Linked DNA regions of Struthio camelus. Each later gene encodes a partner of the first gene's protein in a complex. Links are inferred from orthologs where the notes say so. Each region holds a gene or a part of one and is shown on either strand. Other genes may lie near its edges.

Region 1 (8,137 bases):
GAGACCTTAAAATCTAATATACTGCAGTCTAAAGCTAGCCATATGATCAGATATTTTGAAGAGAGATTTTGTTAAAATTGTCAATTACAAACCCTGTTACTTGTTAACTTGTGTATGTTATGGCATTTGGCTTATTTAAAAAGAGTGACATGTTTTATGCTAGGTTGTTCTGCATATGTTTTTTTAGTTGCCTAGAAAATAAATCTTTCCAAGCATAAGAAAACTTTTAAAAATACTTCTCTTTTGGGTGTCAAAGATGGAAGCAAAAGACAAATGTATGTATTAAGCTGGGATGAAAGAGAGAAATCAGCATATTGTTTAGTATACTAAGTGCCCATTTGTTTACCGAAGGCAAAAGTAATTTTTGTTTTGTCCTGTGTGCTTCCCTGCTCCTTCCATCTCCTACCCACTTTTCCTCTTCCCCCAAACATTTGTAAACAGAAAATTAACTTAAAATGTCAAATTCAGTTTCTTCTCTTCCATTTCCTAGTTTAGTAAAATAACTTCTAGGACAAAGATAGCATGCCGATCATTATGACCTTTTCAGTACAAAAGTAGATTTTGGGCCATATGTTAAGAAGCTCTGAAAAACTTGTTAACAGTACTAGGTCAATTGTATGCATATTAATGTTTTTAAATTGTCAGATATATACCTAGAATTGTGTAACAGCCTTTCCTGGTTATATATGGCTCACATCCTCCATTGAAGCTCATTTGCTCTTCTTTCTGGCATTGAGGAGAAAAACTAGCTTTACAACAATTTGCTGTACATTACAAAGTAAAGTTGAACTCTTAGCACGAGGAGGGGAGGGGAAAGAAAAAGAAAGCCTGTTTTACTGGCTCGATCAGATGGCAACTTCAAGGTGATGAGAGGATGTGCTTCTCGCCAGCAGATAAGGCCGGACAGTGTGATGAGTCTAGGTTTGTTGTTCTCCTTCTTTTCCATCCATTGAGATCCCTTTTGGCAATCTGATGCCTGACGAATAAGCAAGGTGAAAGTTTCAGTTTCTTCAGTACATTTAATTTTAATGTGCTGTCAGGTGACCCGCAACAACTTTGGATCATTCGTTAACCTCCTGGATCGATTTTGTTGTCTTAAGAGCATGTTTGTTGTTCGTTCCTCCTCCCTTACTCTCTAAATCTGTTTGTTAGTTTCAGCAAGTTTTATAAAAACTTAGATCTAGATCTAAAGACAGTAAGCTCACTATGAATTAAATGAAAAATTGTATAGGAAAGAAAATAGTGTAGAAGAGGCTCTGGATTGGAGCCTCAGTCAGGAAAGGTCTGTAGTTTGAGGCTCAGCAGCTACTCAATTTGCCTGCAGGGTAATGACTGAGCAGGTGCCTGACTTGAACTCAGCCACTACCAGTGTTGCCTCACTCTACCTACCCTGATGTATGGCTGTGGCGGGGGGCGGGTACTGAAACGTTTTGGAGAGTCAAAGGCTTGGCATCAGGGAGCAATAGAGAAGAGCAGCTCAGGTTTGGAGAGATGGCAGCTTAGGACTGTAAAGCAAAAACCTGCAGGAAAGCCAGCTTTGCTAGTTGTTGTTCAGAGACCAATAAGTTTCCATTGTGTTCACCACCTTTCTTTCCTGAATTTCTTTTCAGGAGTAATGATCTTTGTTCTATTCAGTGTTGCACCTAGCCATGTTTGTGAAGATTGATGCATATTTTTGTTCTCTTTCAAATTTCATCGGTTTTAGAATTGAAGATCTACTTTAGCTTGGTTTGTTGTTAAAAGAGGTTAAAAATGTGTCTTGCTGGTAGTAATATATACCTGGTAACGCATGAATAGGCTAATTTTTGAATGATTTGAGGTGTGTGGTCATCCCTGGAACGCAGTTATAGCTGTGGGTTTATTATACAAAGCTATAGCTTGAGGCAGTGACATGAAGGCTCAAAATCCAAATTCTGATCTCATTCTAGCTGAGCAAATGAGAAACTAGATACCTGACTTAAAGGTCATGCTAGTAGGCCCCTAAGCACAGTGAGTGCCTTGGCCAGCTGAGGTTTATATAAGTGCTGCACGAAGGAGAATGAGCAGACTAGAAAATGCCCAAAAAGGGCATTTAAAGATATACGCCATGTGCTGAGTTTTTGATTCTGCTGATTTCTGGAACTTGCACGTTTGCTTATTATGCATATAAAATAATTAACCAATTATGAAATGCATGATAGTCACAAAATGGCAGGATACCAGTGAAGGATGTAGCATGTAACTGATTTAAATATAAAGGAAAGTTGTAGACTGAAATATCTGGATCCCAGTTATTGGACAGTTATGCTGTGCGCTTTTTAGGGAGCGGTGCAGAGTTATGCTTGCTACTTACCGGACTGCCCTGAATAAAGAAACTTGCATGACTAATCCATTGCGAAGTTGTGCATTGCACAAAGCTAAGTGAGTCTAGATGCTGGAAGAGATGGGATTAGTAGTATGTGATCACCCTGGTGTGCCTTTAGCATTCGGTAGGACAGAGTGACCAGTAGCAGAGGCAGACACTGAAAGAGGTCAGTAATACGTTACTAAAATATTCAGTAATATCCAAATAATTTGAGCAGTTAGAGGTATTGTAGTTGATGTAAAGTATATATAGTAAAATGTAGTTACGTGAAATAAATGTTCTGCAGACATAAGCTTCTAATAGTTGTACTTGCTGCGTTGTTGATGTTAAGATATGACAATCTTCTAGCGGTGGATAATTCTTGCAATACAAAAATTTCAGTTTTCACTTCATACTTAGAGTATGAGTTATTTGACAGCGTGATAATTAGGATAGCATATTGGATTTGAGGGTCTGTTTCTTGGTGTACTGAACTACCGATGTACTCCTCTTAATGTGTTTGGAATGTTTTTCACAGATTTCTTGAAAAACAATTAAGTACTGGAATAGGTTGCCCAGAGGTTTGTTGGAGTCTCCCTCGGTGGAAATGCTCAAGATTTGGCTTGATGGGACCCTGGGTAACCTAATTTAAAGCCCTACTTTCAACAAAGGTTGGATCAGGTAGTTTCCAGAATTCCCTTCCAGCCTAGACTTTTTTTATGATTCTGTGATTTAATTCATGCATAGCCATGTTTTTCTATAGTATTGGTGATAGTTTAATCCTATAACAATAACATTAATCTTGTTAAAATAGCCCAGATCTTGTTCTGCTGAAAATAAACGTGGGAAATAAGTTAGTCCACTAGTGAAAATGTTTACCACTGCTCAGTGGTACTGTTACGATAGGACTTGACGCTGTTCTGTATTGGAGAGACGGCCGTAATGCTAGTATTAGTAATTATTTTTATGCCTATGAGAGCAGAGTCCAAAGTGAAGAAAGAGCTCTCAGTCAGGTTGCCTCATAGGGGATTTTGCTTGATTAAACACTGCTTTATCAGGTTGTTATTCAAAACCGTGTTTCAAAGATAGCCAGAAAACAGTTGACCAACTGTACCAACTACTTTTTTTCTTCATTGTTTATATGTAAATCAAAGGTTGAATGCCTAACTGAAGAGGATTTTATGGCTGAGTACATGGCTTTATGTTGCAAAATGAACTGAGCGTGTTAAGACAAACTTATGAATCGCATATATATACTTTCAAGACGATTTGAAGTGATCGAAGCCTGATTTGTTTTATGACTTTATTATTATTAACCAGGTTTCTTCAAAATGGCAACCTTTAGTGGTTGGACTTCCTACTGCAAATCTTTTCTTGCTTTTGTGAGACAGTTCATTGCAGAAAACATTCAAAAATGAATGTAAGCTTGTAACATCCCTTGTAACGGTATGCTACCTAGCATTTCAAATTTTGCCAAGGAAATTCTGTGGTGTAGTTGCTCAGAAAATAATGCTAAGGTCTGTGTTGGCATGGTGAGATCTGTAATCAATGAAATGTGTATAATGCATCAGAAAACATCAAACTTTAAACCCACTCTTTAGAGACTGGGACTTCAATAGCTCTTAGTGGAGATGACAGAGTCCTGTAAGCCTCCTTATGGGAAAATATGCTTAAAAACACAAATATTCAAAATCTTGTGTACTAATGTGCTTACTTGCATATCAACTGAAGTGTAGGGACTAGTTGGTTGCATTATGATTTGCACTGAGTTTGGCTAGCAACTTTCTGGCTACTATTGCATATGCTCAACTTTGCAGCCCAAGCCTAATACTTTATAAGCATATTTTTTTACAGTGACTCCTTCTCCGTTACGTCTGAATTTTGCTGTTCTCTGGCTCTTTCTTTTTTCTGGGGGATGGGGGAAGGGAAGGGGAGAGAGGTAACCAACACAGTTGTTCTAGCTTGTTAAGAGTCATTTAGTAGGGAACAATTGTTAACGTGATCAGTGCTCCTCTAAAGTAAAAGCCTTCTGTTTTTTACCTGCTATATTATTGCTATAGATTAGGGGTTTTTTTTTTCTTTTTATCATTTCATATCTTCTTTCTTTGCATCTAGATCAAGTATACTTTTATTTTTCCCCCTAGCACCTAACCATTTTAGGACCTGTCACTTAAGTTGGGAATAAGGTGCTTCCATTCTGTTTGCCTGTGAGAAGAGATGTTTAATATAGATTTTTTTTTCCCTATTTTTCCCTGACTTTCTGACATAATACAGTCATCACAGACCATATGCAAACATATAGCACTGCTTCCAGCACTGATATTGCTGTCATCTTTCTGTATTGATAGTTAGATTATAATTAACTCTTGTCTGCACAATTAGAAATATAATAATTGAGGTGACAGCTTTCCTTGGGGGAGAATGGGGGAGGACAAAAGATCCCCAAACAGGCTAGCCCTAAAATAAAGGAAGCCTCTGTTCTAAATGTTTATTATTGCCATTTAGTCCATTTTCTAACAAGCAGGGAATGCACAGGATTCATATCAGATTTCTTTTCAGCAATAAGACAGAGCAAACTTTCTAAATTAGTATATATCTCAGGTGTTTTGGAAACACCACCTTTGGTCATTGTTTGTGAACGTGCTCCTCGTTCCCTAGTATTGAATTGTTACTATTTGGTTAGTGAGACTTTTTTTGGCTCTCCACATTCAATTTCAGTGCAGCAGGAGGATGCAGTAGATGCACTTCTGTTTTCTGTTTGATGGCATAGATGTTCTGCTCAATGGTATGAAAGGGTCGGCCAGGAGTTCCTTGAACTGCTCACTTCAGAGTGAAGCTGCTGGGGCCTAGCACAGCCAGACTCATTGCTAGATTCAGTGTTAAAACCTAGTTTGTGGTTCAGCTTGCAGAGTAAGAAAATTGCTGGCGTTGGAAGCAAATGGTGCTCTGAGGTTTGGATTTCTGGAAACAGTTATCCGAGGAAAGTGGTGAGCCGAAACAAACTTTTCAAAAATTCAGAACGCATGTTTTACCAACAGAAATAAGCAGTTCTCTGCTTTTTGCTCCTAAGTAATTGTCATCCTCAATGGTTTCTCAGTTGACTGTAATATGACAAGGTTAATTTTGTCTTTTCTTCCTTTAATTTATCTATCAATGTTATTCCAAAAGATATGTAATTCTTTTGCTTGTAAATATTTTTAATCCCTTCTTTACTGCCCTTGGAACAGGAGTTGTATTTTAACACTGAATTCCTGAGACTTGGTATCAGTGGACTGATGAAGAGAGATCTGATATAACCTGTCTAGACTCATAAATTTAGGAAAACAAGCTACAATCTCCTAGGGAATTGATTTTTTCCTTAAGCTGCTTCACAGCAATTGATGGTCTATATTTAATGAAAGATATATTTTTAAGTGGTGCTGGTAGGGATCTGTACACATAAGTATGTTGCCCTTCCTAAATCCTTTCTCTCTGGCTCTGATCTCCTAGTTCATTAGGAAAAAACTTTCATCATCGTTTCAACAATAGCAGATAACCACTCTCTGCTATCTTATCTAATCTATAATTTCTTCCTCCTCCACTTCTGCATTGCTTTCATATTCTTGTTACTATTTACTTTGTTCCAACCCATTGCATTATGCTTTTACTCATAGTTTGTTTCATGACTGATCTGCTTATTCTCTTTGGAACCCCTTATACTCTTCAAGTCCTATGTTAATCATTGATTCAATTAGTCCTATCAATTCTGATTTATTTTTTCATCTGAACGGTGTCTGATCTAGTGCTTTCCAAGATCGATGGAAAGAAAAGTTCTTTTTTTCATGAATGCGGTAAGAACTAGACAAGGAGGCATTCTCTCTTTCTGTTTTTTCCCCGTGATTTGGAACTGCCTTGTCAGCCAGTGCTGCACTGTGAAGTTGTCATAACCTTCCTTTTCGAACGTGTTGCTGTGGTTCTTGTTGTTTCGTGGCTGCTTTTAGTTTGCAAACTCAGGATAGGCAGCCATCCTGTAACTGCATTCAATCCCTAAAAAACCTCTGCTACCACTTACTCTGACTAGTTTTGCATATGGCTTTTATTTTTAAAAGATTCCTGTTCCTGTCATATTGCTTCAAAAAGGGCTGTAGCTGCTTCCTGAATTTAACGCTGATGAAGGTTACATACCTTACATATCTGAAGTTTGGCTGGATTTAACAGTTAATAAATCTCTGTTACATGCTAAAGGTGTTCTCTCCCCTCTTCATGTTTTTTTTGAGAGACTAACTTGCTTAGGTGAAATTCTAGATTTTATTAGTAGTAGAAAAGTGTACATGGCAGAGGCCAGAGTTTGTACTTTGGTTCCAAAGATCAGCTGCAGACTGAGCGTGTTCATCATATGTAAATATTGATGTCACATTCAGAAAGTTCTTGTGGATGAGCAGACCACTTACATGGTCACAACCTGATACATTTTGCACTAGAAAAACAATTAAGATTAAATAAACTGAGCTGAGTGATTTTTACAGAGGTGTAACATAGGGTAGGTAATCTAGAATAAAGGTCATTATCTTTGTTCCTAATCTCAGTATAAGCTTAAATATTAGGACTCTATGTAAAGGTTTAGCTAATAGCTTTTAAAATAAAGTAGCTAATCTAAATCAGTTACCAAAGCAAAGTAAGCTTGACAATATTGCTTGAAGTATTGATTTCAACTTAATTTCTCCTTTAAAACTCTTATGACAATCTGATGTTTTCAGGTAAACTGGCTGTTTACCTGAACATTGATTTGGCAAAATACTTGCTTTTGGTTGATTGACTTGTCCTCAGCAGAATCAGAACATAGTACTGTGTTCTCAACCAGGTTTTGTTTTGATGCCTTTCCTTTAAAATACACTTCTAGTTTATTACATGGTTGTGAAAGAAACGCTAAGGAAAGAAAACAATAATTCTGGACTTTTGTCCTCTTTTTCAGTCTGGCTGTACTGTGATTATAGTTCTGATTTGATAAGGTGCTATAGTGCACTCCCTCTTCTCTCCCAGCCCTTCCAAATTATGTTTTGAGGAATTTGCCTTTTGGGAAGTGTTACTTGTTACCGCTGTCCTGTGAAGTGCTTAATGGTGAGGGAACCTGGAGAGATTTGTTGGATCTCACCACTATAAACAACCTCTCCTTTTTGCTCCTGTTTTAGTATAAAGCAGCAAAGTTGGCACTGTGCCTGCATTCCTCTGTAATCAGTTGCCACAGCATGCTAAGATTGCTTTGAGGGAAGTAGATAAATATTTTACCTGCCAGCCGGGAATACAAAAGCTGAACTAGGAAGGATTGGGGACTGTAAGATCTACTTGGGAAAACTTGATTTTTGTGTGGGTGCGTGTGTGTGTATGTTAAAAATGCTTGGCACCATTTCACATATGAACTGATTTGAGACTTAAACCAACCTCTGGCTCCAAAACTCAACAATATCAGCAGTTCAGTAGGTAATAGACTTGTGTTCTAAAACAAGGAAGTTGTTTATTTTTGTGAATTAAATCAGTCTTGCTGTGCAAGGGAATATAACAAGCTTATATTTATAAGGTTCATGAGACTTGTTACTTCAAGGTAGCAACAGGAAGCTTTATTATAAGTGCTCATTAGTTGGGCAGCTGCATTAAAAGCAAATGAACAACAACAACAACAAAACCCTACGTGGGCTTGAATTATTTGTGAAGGCACTATTTATTGTTGGGATAGTTGGGGAAAAACAAGGGGTGGGGGTTGTCTCAGTCAAGAGAGTGAGTAGATCTTTACCAAGTCGCCTTTCCAAAGTCATGCTCTACCCTGCCCCAGTTTACTCC
Region 2 (7,200 bases), on another chromosome or scaffold:
TTGTTCCAGTCACGTGAAAAATACCTCATAGAGACAGATGCAGACAGTAAGGTGGGAAGATGCTTGATTTTTCCAAGGGGCCTTGTATTATCATCTTTTTTCCACTCATGAAATTCATGTTGCCAGTGTCTGGAGTGGAAGATCAAGGTCACTAGCTGGTCTCCCAGTTCCAAAGGATGCACCCCCTTCACTTAGGGTCTGGCCATCAGCCCATGGTTTATCTCCTGACAAACTAACCTGGGCCATTTTAACTCTGTTGATAAATAGTTCATTCTGGGTTGAATTACCATCAAACTCTCTCACCAGAGTGTAAAACTACTTTTCCTAGGCAGAAATCCTCAGGAAAACGTAGCTAGCTTATTCGCTGTTCTCTTACAGTTCTTCCTCCAGCACAAACGACTCATGTCCCAACTGGAGTGTAAATTGAGTTCTCAGTCCTTGGAGGGACTAGAAGGGGTACTGTACACATCCTATCTGCCCCATATACTTTGCAGCTGATAGCAACCTTCCAACATATTGAAAGGTGGCACTTTAAAAAACAAAACAAAACAAATGTTTCTTCATGTTAACAACCTTGCCAACCTTCCCTTTACAGGATAGGCATTAAGAAAGTGTGATCTTCCCATCATTAATTATCTTCCAGACATGCTGCCTTAAAGAGTTCTTATTCTCTTACTCTCTTTTGTTCTGCAGACTTTAGAATAAATATAGGTCGAAAACAGAAACATCGGGTAGCGCTCCTTTTTAAATCCCTGTCAAGCACACTTTGCCTGGGCTAAGGTATGACTGTAGTATCATACTAGTCTCATTGTAGCAGACTGTCTTTGGGAAAATGCTATGTCATATAGCCACCCAGGAACAGTAGGATACTGAGGCTCTGGCATTTTGTGACTCCAGTATAAGATCTGGCAGCTGTGGATGTCTCTAAGTATCTCCTCTCACTCCTTTCACAGACACTTGCAAGGTTTTTTTCTTAGATAAAGTCTCCCATCATATGACAGTGCTAATTTCCTATTTTTTTTCGTAAGTTTATCAGTTCTTCTATGTGGACTGCTTTGTGTGACCTGATGAGGAAGGGTGATCTTGTATTTGACCAATGCTGTTACCCCGTCCCACCTACAGCAAAGTATACGTAATATCTTACCTGAAGGAAAAACATGGGAAAACCAGCACTGGCCAATTTTGTCTTTGAATTTAAAATATCTTAAGAAAGTTGCTCTATCTTCTCTACCTTCTTGCTCTGTCTTCTGATCTTCTGCACAAGTGAGATGTTAGCTTGGTGCTGGCTTAGTACTTTCATCCTACAGTATAAAAATCATCCTCTTCCTCCCCTGAAAAGGAACAAGTTAATAACAAAGCATCATTTTGCCAGAACTAGACTGAGGAAAAAGGGGCTAGGGATCAATAGCAGAATTGATCCTCATTGTATTAGAAACACATATATTTAACATTAAAAATAACAGACCGGCTCAAAACTGAGTGGAAGACAACACTGCTCTAGCCTTCTTACCCATACTGCATTTCACTCTAGCCATCATGTGAATGGCAAACACTGCATAAAAGCGGAATCAGAAATTAAAAAAAAAGTCTTCTGAGACTATGTTTTTAAAAACAAATCTGTATCATTAATCTAACACTTGACACAAGGTTTGTATTACCTGCCAAATGTCAGAAGATTGGTTTCCAGTCTCACTAAGACAAGGAGTCAAACAGGTCATCTATCTGCAGATAGCAGCACTGGAAAACACCTATACTATGGAAGGATGTTAGACTGTGCCAGCCTGGCCTCTAGTAAATTTGCAGCCCTGCTCTGCAGACAATTTTAGAAAGCATGTTTTCCTGCTGTATCTGACATGTAAATAACAACAGGAGGAGGGCAGGGCTGCTTTTCCAAATCTGATATTTACATACAAAAAGGTCTGGACCCACGGCAACTACCAAAAAGGCAACAGGAGCAACGAAACTTGGCCAGATTGCCCCTTTCTAGCTAAGCCACAAACTGAACTCCCGTGACAGCCAGTCTGAGTTATCTAACAGCAGCAACATTGCTCAGGGGTGAAGTCAGACGAAACAAAGGCTTTACCAGACCCCAAAGAACAAGTATTTTAATTATATTCATACAGAGAAAATGTAAAATATCTTTTAAAGTAGTTCCTTGCATGTAGTTACGCATGCTGGACCAGGCCTATTGACCGTAGAAATATTGTGAAGGTTGCTATTCTCCATAAACCAGCACTGCAGTTGTTCTAAGCTGCTCCTTGAACAGTTTCATACCACACCAGACACGCATAGGACCACTTGCTCTGAGCAACCAAGTCAAGCGTGTACTTGTTTCTATTTAAATATATTAAATTCTATTGAAGCTTTGGGTTGATCCTGAGATAAGGATAAACTGTAAGTCCACAGCTGTACACCTCTGTGCAAAGGTAATTTGGAAGTTCTCCCTCATACGCCCTGCTCTCATCAAACCAAATGACAGCCCCTCAGGGCTGCGGTGAGGGGAATCAAGGGTGTAAGGGGGGGAGAAAGCCATCAGTCACTTGCCCCTCCCTTCTGCTACTGTCAAATGCTTATGCACGCAGCGAGTTTTAGCGAGAAGTGGCCGTGTATATATAGCCTTCCGTCTAGACATGAAAGATTGCCCCGTCTTCCCTGCTTCTTTTTTCAGTGCTGCTGCTACACGTGCCCTTTGTCTTTGCAGCTTCTACCACCTACGACAACCATCATATATTTCTCTGCTCCACTGACCCATTCTCTTCCATTTTACCGGCAAAATAGCATTAATTGCAGTAAAATCATTCTGTGGCCTCTAGGAATATAGCTGAATGCAGTTTTTTGCCTTTGTCTGTAGTTCTCATTTCTTCCTCTTTCCATTTGTAGTATTTACTTTTTATTAGGTAATAGTTTCATGTAAAAGTCAGTTACATTCGGCACATAACCCCTAATGCAAAACAAGCCCGGATGGGAGTGCAAAACCATAAGGTGTATATTCACAAAGAGAAGGCTGGGATATATTTGCTTCCAGCTTCACAGCAAAGACTCTTAGTTTACTCCTCATTTACACCAGTAAATCAATACGTAACACAGCACAAGTTTCCCAAGCCTCTGCTGGGAAGCGGTGGCCTCCTCACCACACTCACCATCCATTTTCTGCGGCCAGCACCTACTCCTCACTCCCGGTTCCCAGTTCCACCTGCCTTCGCCAAGCCACTACCCTGCTGCAGAAGTAACACAGCCACAGATTTGATGGAGAAAACACTAGAATTGAGAAGAGACCTTGAGCTTTGCAACTACAGAACAATAACATATATATTGCTCCATCAAATCCACAAACACAAGGCAGTAGGCAACTGCGCCAAGAGAAGCAGATGGATCTTAAGCACGTCTTTAGACAAGCAAGAGCCTCAGCACCTGTTTCTATGCACATACACACCCTGCTGCAACCGGGCTGCTTTTGGGCACGCACACTGGATCCGGCTGAACGGTTCGCTCGCTTTCCCAGCCTTAGCGACACCTTAGCATCCCTGCGTCCTGCTGCACCTTTGGGGCAGTTATGTTACCCCTGGTCTCTGAGTGAAGGGTCGCAGATGCTCAGCTGCCTGCTCAGGAACGGCGGAGCAGGGACAGGTAGAGGCACCTGCCGCTAGCCACACCGCTGCGGGACAGGGAGGAAAAAACAAATGTGAGAGGGAAACGGGGCTGAGCTATTGAAAGAGCTGCAAGCAAGGAAGGCACAAAGGCAAGCTACGACGGAGATGGCGTGAGAGAAAAAAAACAGTAAGGAATTGTGCTTTAGCCTCCTTCCCTATTTGTTTAGCACCTGCTCAGGCGAACGACCCGTTTACCCTGCGCACACGTTGGGCTGTCCGGGGGTGGACCGCACTCTCCTCGTCCAGGAGCGCTTGGGGCACAGCAGGGCCGCTGCCGGGCCGGGCCGGGCCGGACCCCGCCGCAGGGCGACGGCCGGGCTGGGCGCTGCTCCGCTCGGCGGGCACCAGGCCTGCGCCGCCCCTTCCCCGCAGAGCCTCCCGGCGTGGCAAACGCCTCGCCCCAGCCTGGTTTTTAGAGGCGCGGGGCTGGCAAGCGGCGGGCGCGCTGTTCGCCAGGCGGGGCCCTGGCCGGAGGTCGGTCACGGCGGGGGTGGGGGACGTGGCCGGCCCCCGCCGGGCCTCCCCGCCGCCGAGGGTGCGCGGGAAGAGGGGCAGGGGGAGGGGGCAGGCAGCCGCCGGCGCCGCTCGCCCAGAGCGGCGCTGGCTGAGGGAGCCCGTCCAAGCCCAGCCCCTCGCCTCAGCCCGGCGCGGCGGCGCTCGCCTCGCCCTCTGCCTCCAGGGCTCTTTGTGGGAAGGTGCCGGCAGGGGGCTGCAGCACCATGTCCTCCCCCAAGAAAGGCTTTTACCGGCAGGAGATCACCAAAACCCTCTGGGAAGTACGGGACCGCTACCGCGACCTGCAGCCTGTGGGATCCGGTGCCTACGGAGCCGTCTGGTGAGCGGGGCAGAGCAGCAGCCGGCGGCGGGGGGCCACGCGCCCCCTCTGCCCAGGCCCCTTCCCCCGCCCCCGGCGCGGCTGGTCCTGCCCCGAGGCGGGAGGGGGCTGCGCCGCCGGTGGGGAGCCGCGATGGCGTCGCCGTGGGGCTCCTGGCGGCTCGGCCGCCGCGCAGCCGGGGGTCGCGCCGGCCGCTTGCGCTTTGTTCCCCGACAACTTTTTTTTCCCGGGTGTTTTACCGCAGCCGGCCTGGCGGCGCCCGGTGCGGGCTTTTGGCGGGGGAGGTGTGGATATTTTTGTTGTGGTGGTGGTGGTTTTTAACGTGCCTGCCCGCCCTACACGTGTTTTCCTCGCTGGAAGGGGCAGGGGCCGGGGCGCGGCCCCAGGGCTCCCCCCGGCAGCAGCCACCGCCGCCAGGCGCCGGCTGCCCCCCGGGTTTGTCCCCTCGGCGAGGGGCTACCCGCTTCTGGGTTTTGTTTGTTTGTTTTTCCGCCTGTCTTTAAAGCTTTTGAAAAGCGGCAACTTTTCATCGCGGGGTCTGGCAGCGTTTAAACTAATGAGACCCTGGAGGCTGTGCTGGCCAGGGGCTTTCGGGGAGGTGGCGTCCCCCTTTTCCCTCGACGCGGTAAATGGCGGCGCAGGGAGGCCAAGCGACCGGCAGGTAGAAAGTCGAGGTCTGGGCGAGGCGGCGCCAAACATAGGCACCTGCTTATCGGCAGTGGGGTTTGCCACAGCCCCTTCGGCCCTCGCCCGCGAAACGCTCTTCCTGTTCCCTTAAAGCTCAGCTGTTGACGGAAGGAATGGTACCAAAGTGGCCATCAAGAAACTGTACCGCCCGTTTCAGTCTGAACTCTTCGCCAAACGAGCCTACCGAGAGCTGCGCCTCCTGAAACACATGAAGCACGAAAATGTGAGTTCAGTCATTAGCAGATCCCCTCAAGGTTGCTGCGGCTTGCAGGCACCAAAAAGAAGTGTGATCTGCTGCTGTCCCCTGATCTGCTGTCCCCTGCCTCCATAATACACCAGCCCTGGCAAGGCAGCTGAGTACCTGCATAGGATTCAGGAGTCTTTCAGCAAGACCTGTGTGTCTGTCTTTTGTCCGTCTGCCTTTTAACCTGCAAATACCAGTTCAAGCAAACTGGAGCGTCCTGTGGGACGCAGTTTCATTGCAGTCCATGTGCGTGAGGTTGGGTGGAGAAGGTTAGGACCGCGGTGGGATTTGTGCTCAAAGCTAGAGGGAGAGAGATTAAGAGACCCGAAATCTGAATCTCGATCACCACACGCATGAGATGTAGGAGAGTGGGAGAGTGTGGATCTGTACTGCTAGCATCTCTTTGCTTGAAGTTGGATGTGGCATGCACGCCTGTCTCTCGAGGAAGAGGTCTGGTCTTGCCTTTCATGAAGCGTTTGAAAGTTTCAGGTTTGTACTAATGGGAAATGGGAAGAGTTTACGAATGAGTAAAAAAAATTGCTTTAGAGGCATAATGTGTCTTCCTGGATGCTGAGATAAGGAGGAGAGATCTGTGTGAAAACAGTTTTGTGGGATGAAAGCATGAATGGAAACCAGGTCAGAAAGATCCCGGGGTGGGACTGGAAGATCACAGTTAGTGGCTTTAAATGCTATTTCTGAAGAGTACATGTGAAGAAAGAGTTTCAGGTGACTTTTAAAAAGATAGATACAAGAATCTATTTTAAAATGCTAATGATGTGGGAGATTATAGTTTTCCATGGAGGCTATTTGAGCAGAGCTAAGAGCTGGAAGGTGAGAATGAGAGAAGCCAGTAGTAATAGCAATAGCCAGTCGTTGCCATTGCACGTTGCAGTGTTAGCATTCTGAGTACCAGCAACAACTAGGTTCATTTCGAGGAATAATCTCTACGATATCCCGGCTGTCTGGAGAAAACAGACCTTACTGTAGGCTTATGAACCCGTGTGCCTGTTTACCTTTTAGTCTGACTCTTTTAACATATTTGATCGTTTTACTTGAGGAATCCTTAGAAATAACTGCTTTTTACCATTGTTGTATATATGTTAAAGAGTTAATGTTTAACTTGTGTGTCATACAGAGTCTTTCATACTCTCAGCATTTACTGTACTCAACATTTGGGAGCAGATCAGCTCATGCAGTTGCCAAACTCCTAACTGTCTTCCGAATTTTGAGATTATTTTTCTTCCATTTCTCAGAATAATTTGTTCTTCAGGTGGCTAGCGTTTTCCAGTACTGGCTCTTTTTGTGCTGCATATGCCCTTCAGGATAATACTCTGGAACCCTTCCATAGACTTGTTTGGCAATCAAAAGAGTCTAGAAGAAAACACACACTGAGGAATATGAGTGCAATCTGTACAAGTTACAGATGAATACGTAGGAAGGAAGGGAAGAACTTAGAGTCTTAGAAAACATTTTGGACCACAGAAATAAAAATTCGGTCTAGGTACTGAGGAAAAGTTTCATCATGACTTTACTCGTTAGAGAGCAACGAGTGAGTAAATGGTCATGCAAGGAATTCATAGGCATTGTGGAGACAGAAACCAACTGCTCCACCCGTCCAAGATGAGGCTGAAATGGCAGTACAACCCTTCTAGAGAATTTCCATCCTCCATTCCAGTCTCATACCATTCTACCAGGCATTTTGACCACTGTGAATGGGGAATAGCAGCAAAGCCCTTTAGGATTTCTAGCCCCTTGCTGATCCCGTGCTACTCCCTTAACCACAC

Evidence for each region.
Region 2: the proteins of PTPN3 (region 1) and MAPK12 are in contact, whole or in part, in a crystal structure (PDB 4QUM), measured with the Homo sapiens proteins. The link is inferred for Struthio camelus from reciprocal best matches to the Homo sapiens genes PTPN3 and MAPK12. Residues at the interface, in NP_002820.3 of Homo sapiens: Arg655, Leu671, Asn674, Arg675, Tyr676, Lys677, Asp678, Val679, Arg751, His812, Ser843, Ala844, Gly845, Ile846, Gly847, Arg848, Met883, Gln886, Thr887; in NP_002960.2 of Homo sapiens: Met182, Thr183, Gly184, Tyr185, Val186, Val187, Arg189.

Annotation. Positions count from the first base shown.
Region 1 is NC_090943.1:70,023,559-70,031,695, reverse strand, and holds the start of PTPN3 (tyrosine-protein phosphatase non-receptor type 3), read left to right. Parts: upstream 1-5,046; 5' UTR 5,047-5,062; coding exon 5,063-5,108; intron 5,109-5,155; exon of another isoform or gene 5,156-5,310; intron 5,311-8,137.
Region 2 is NC_090942.1:22,879,220-22,886,419, reverse strand, and holds the start of MAPK12 (mitogen-activated protein kinase 12), read left to right. Parts: upstream 1-4,175; 5' UTR 4,176-4,369; coding exon 4,370-4,485; exon of another isoform or gene 4,486-4,562; intron 4,563-4,576; exon of another isoform or gene 4,577-5,041; coding exon of another isoform or gene 5,042-5,159; intron 5,160-5,265; coding exon 5,266-5,395; intron 5,396-7,200. UniProt on the Homo sapiens protein: Serine/threonine kinase which acts as an essential component of the MAP kinase signal transduction pathway.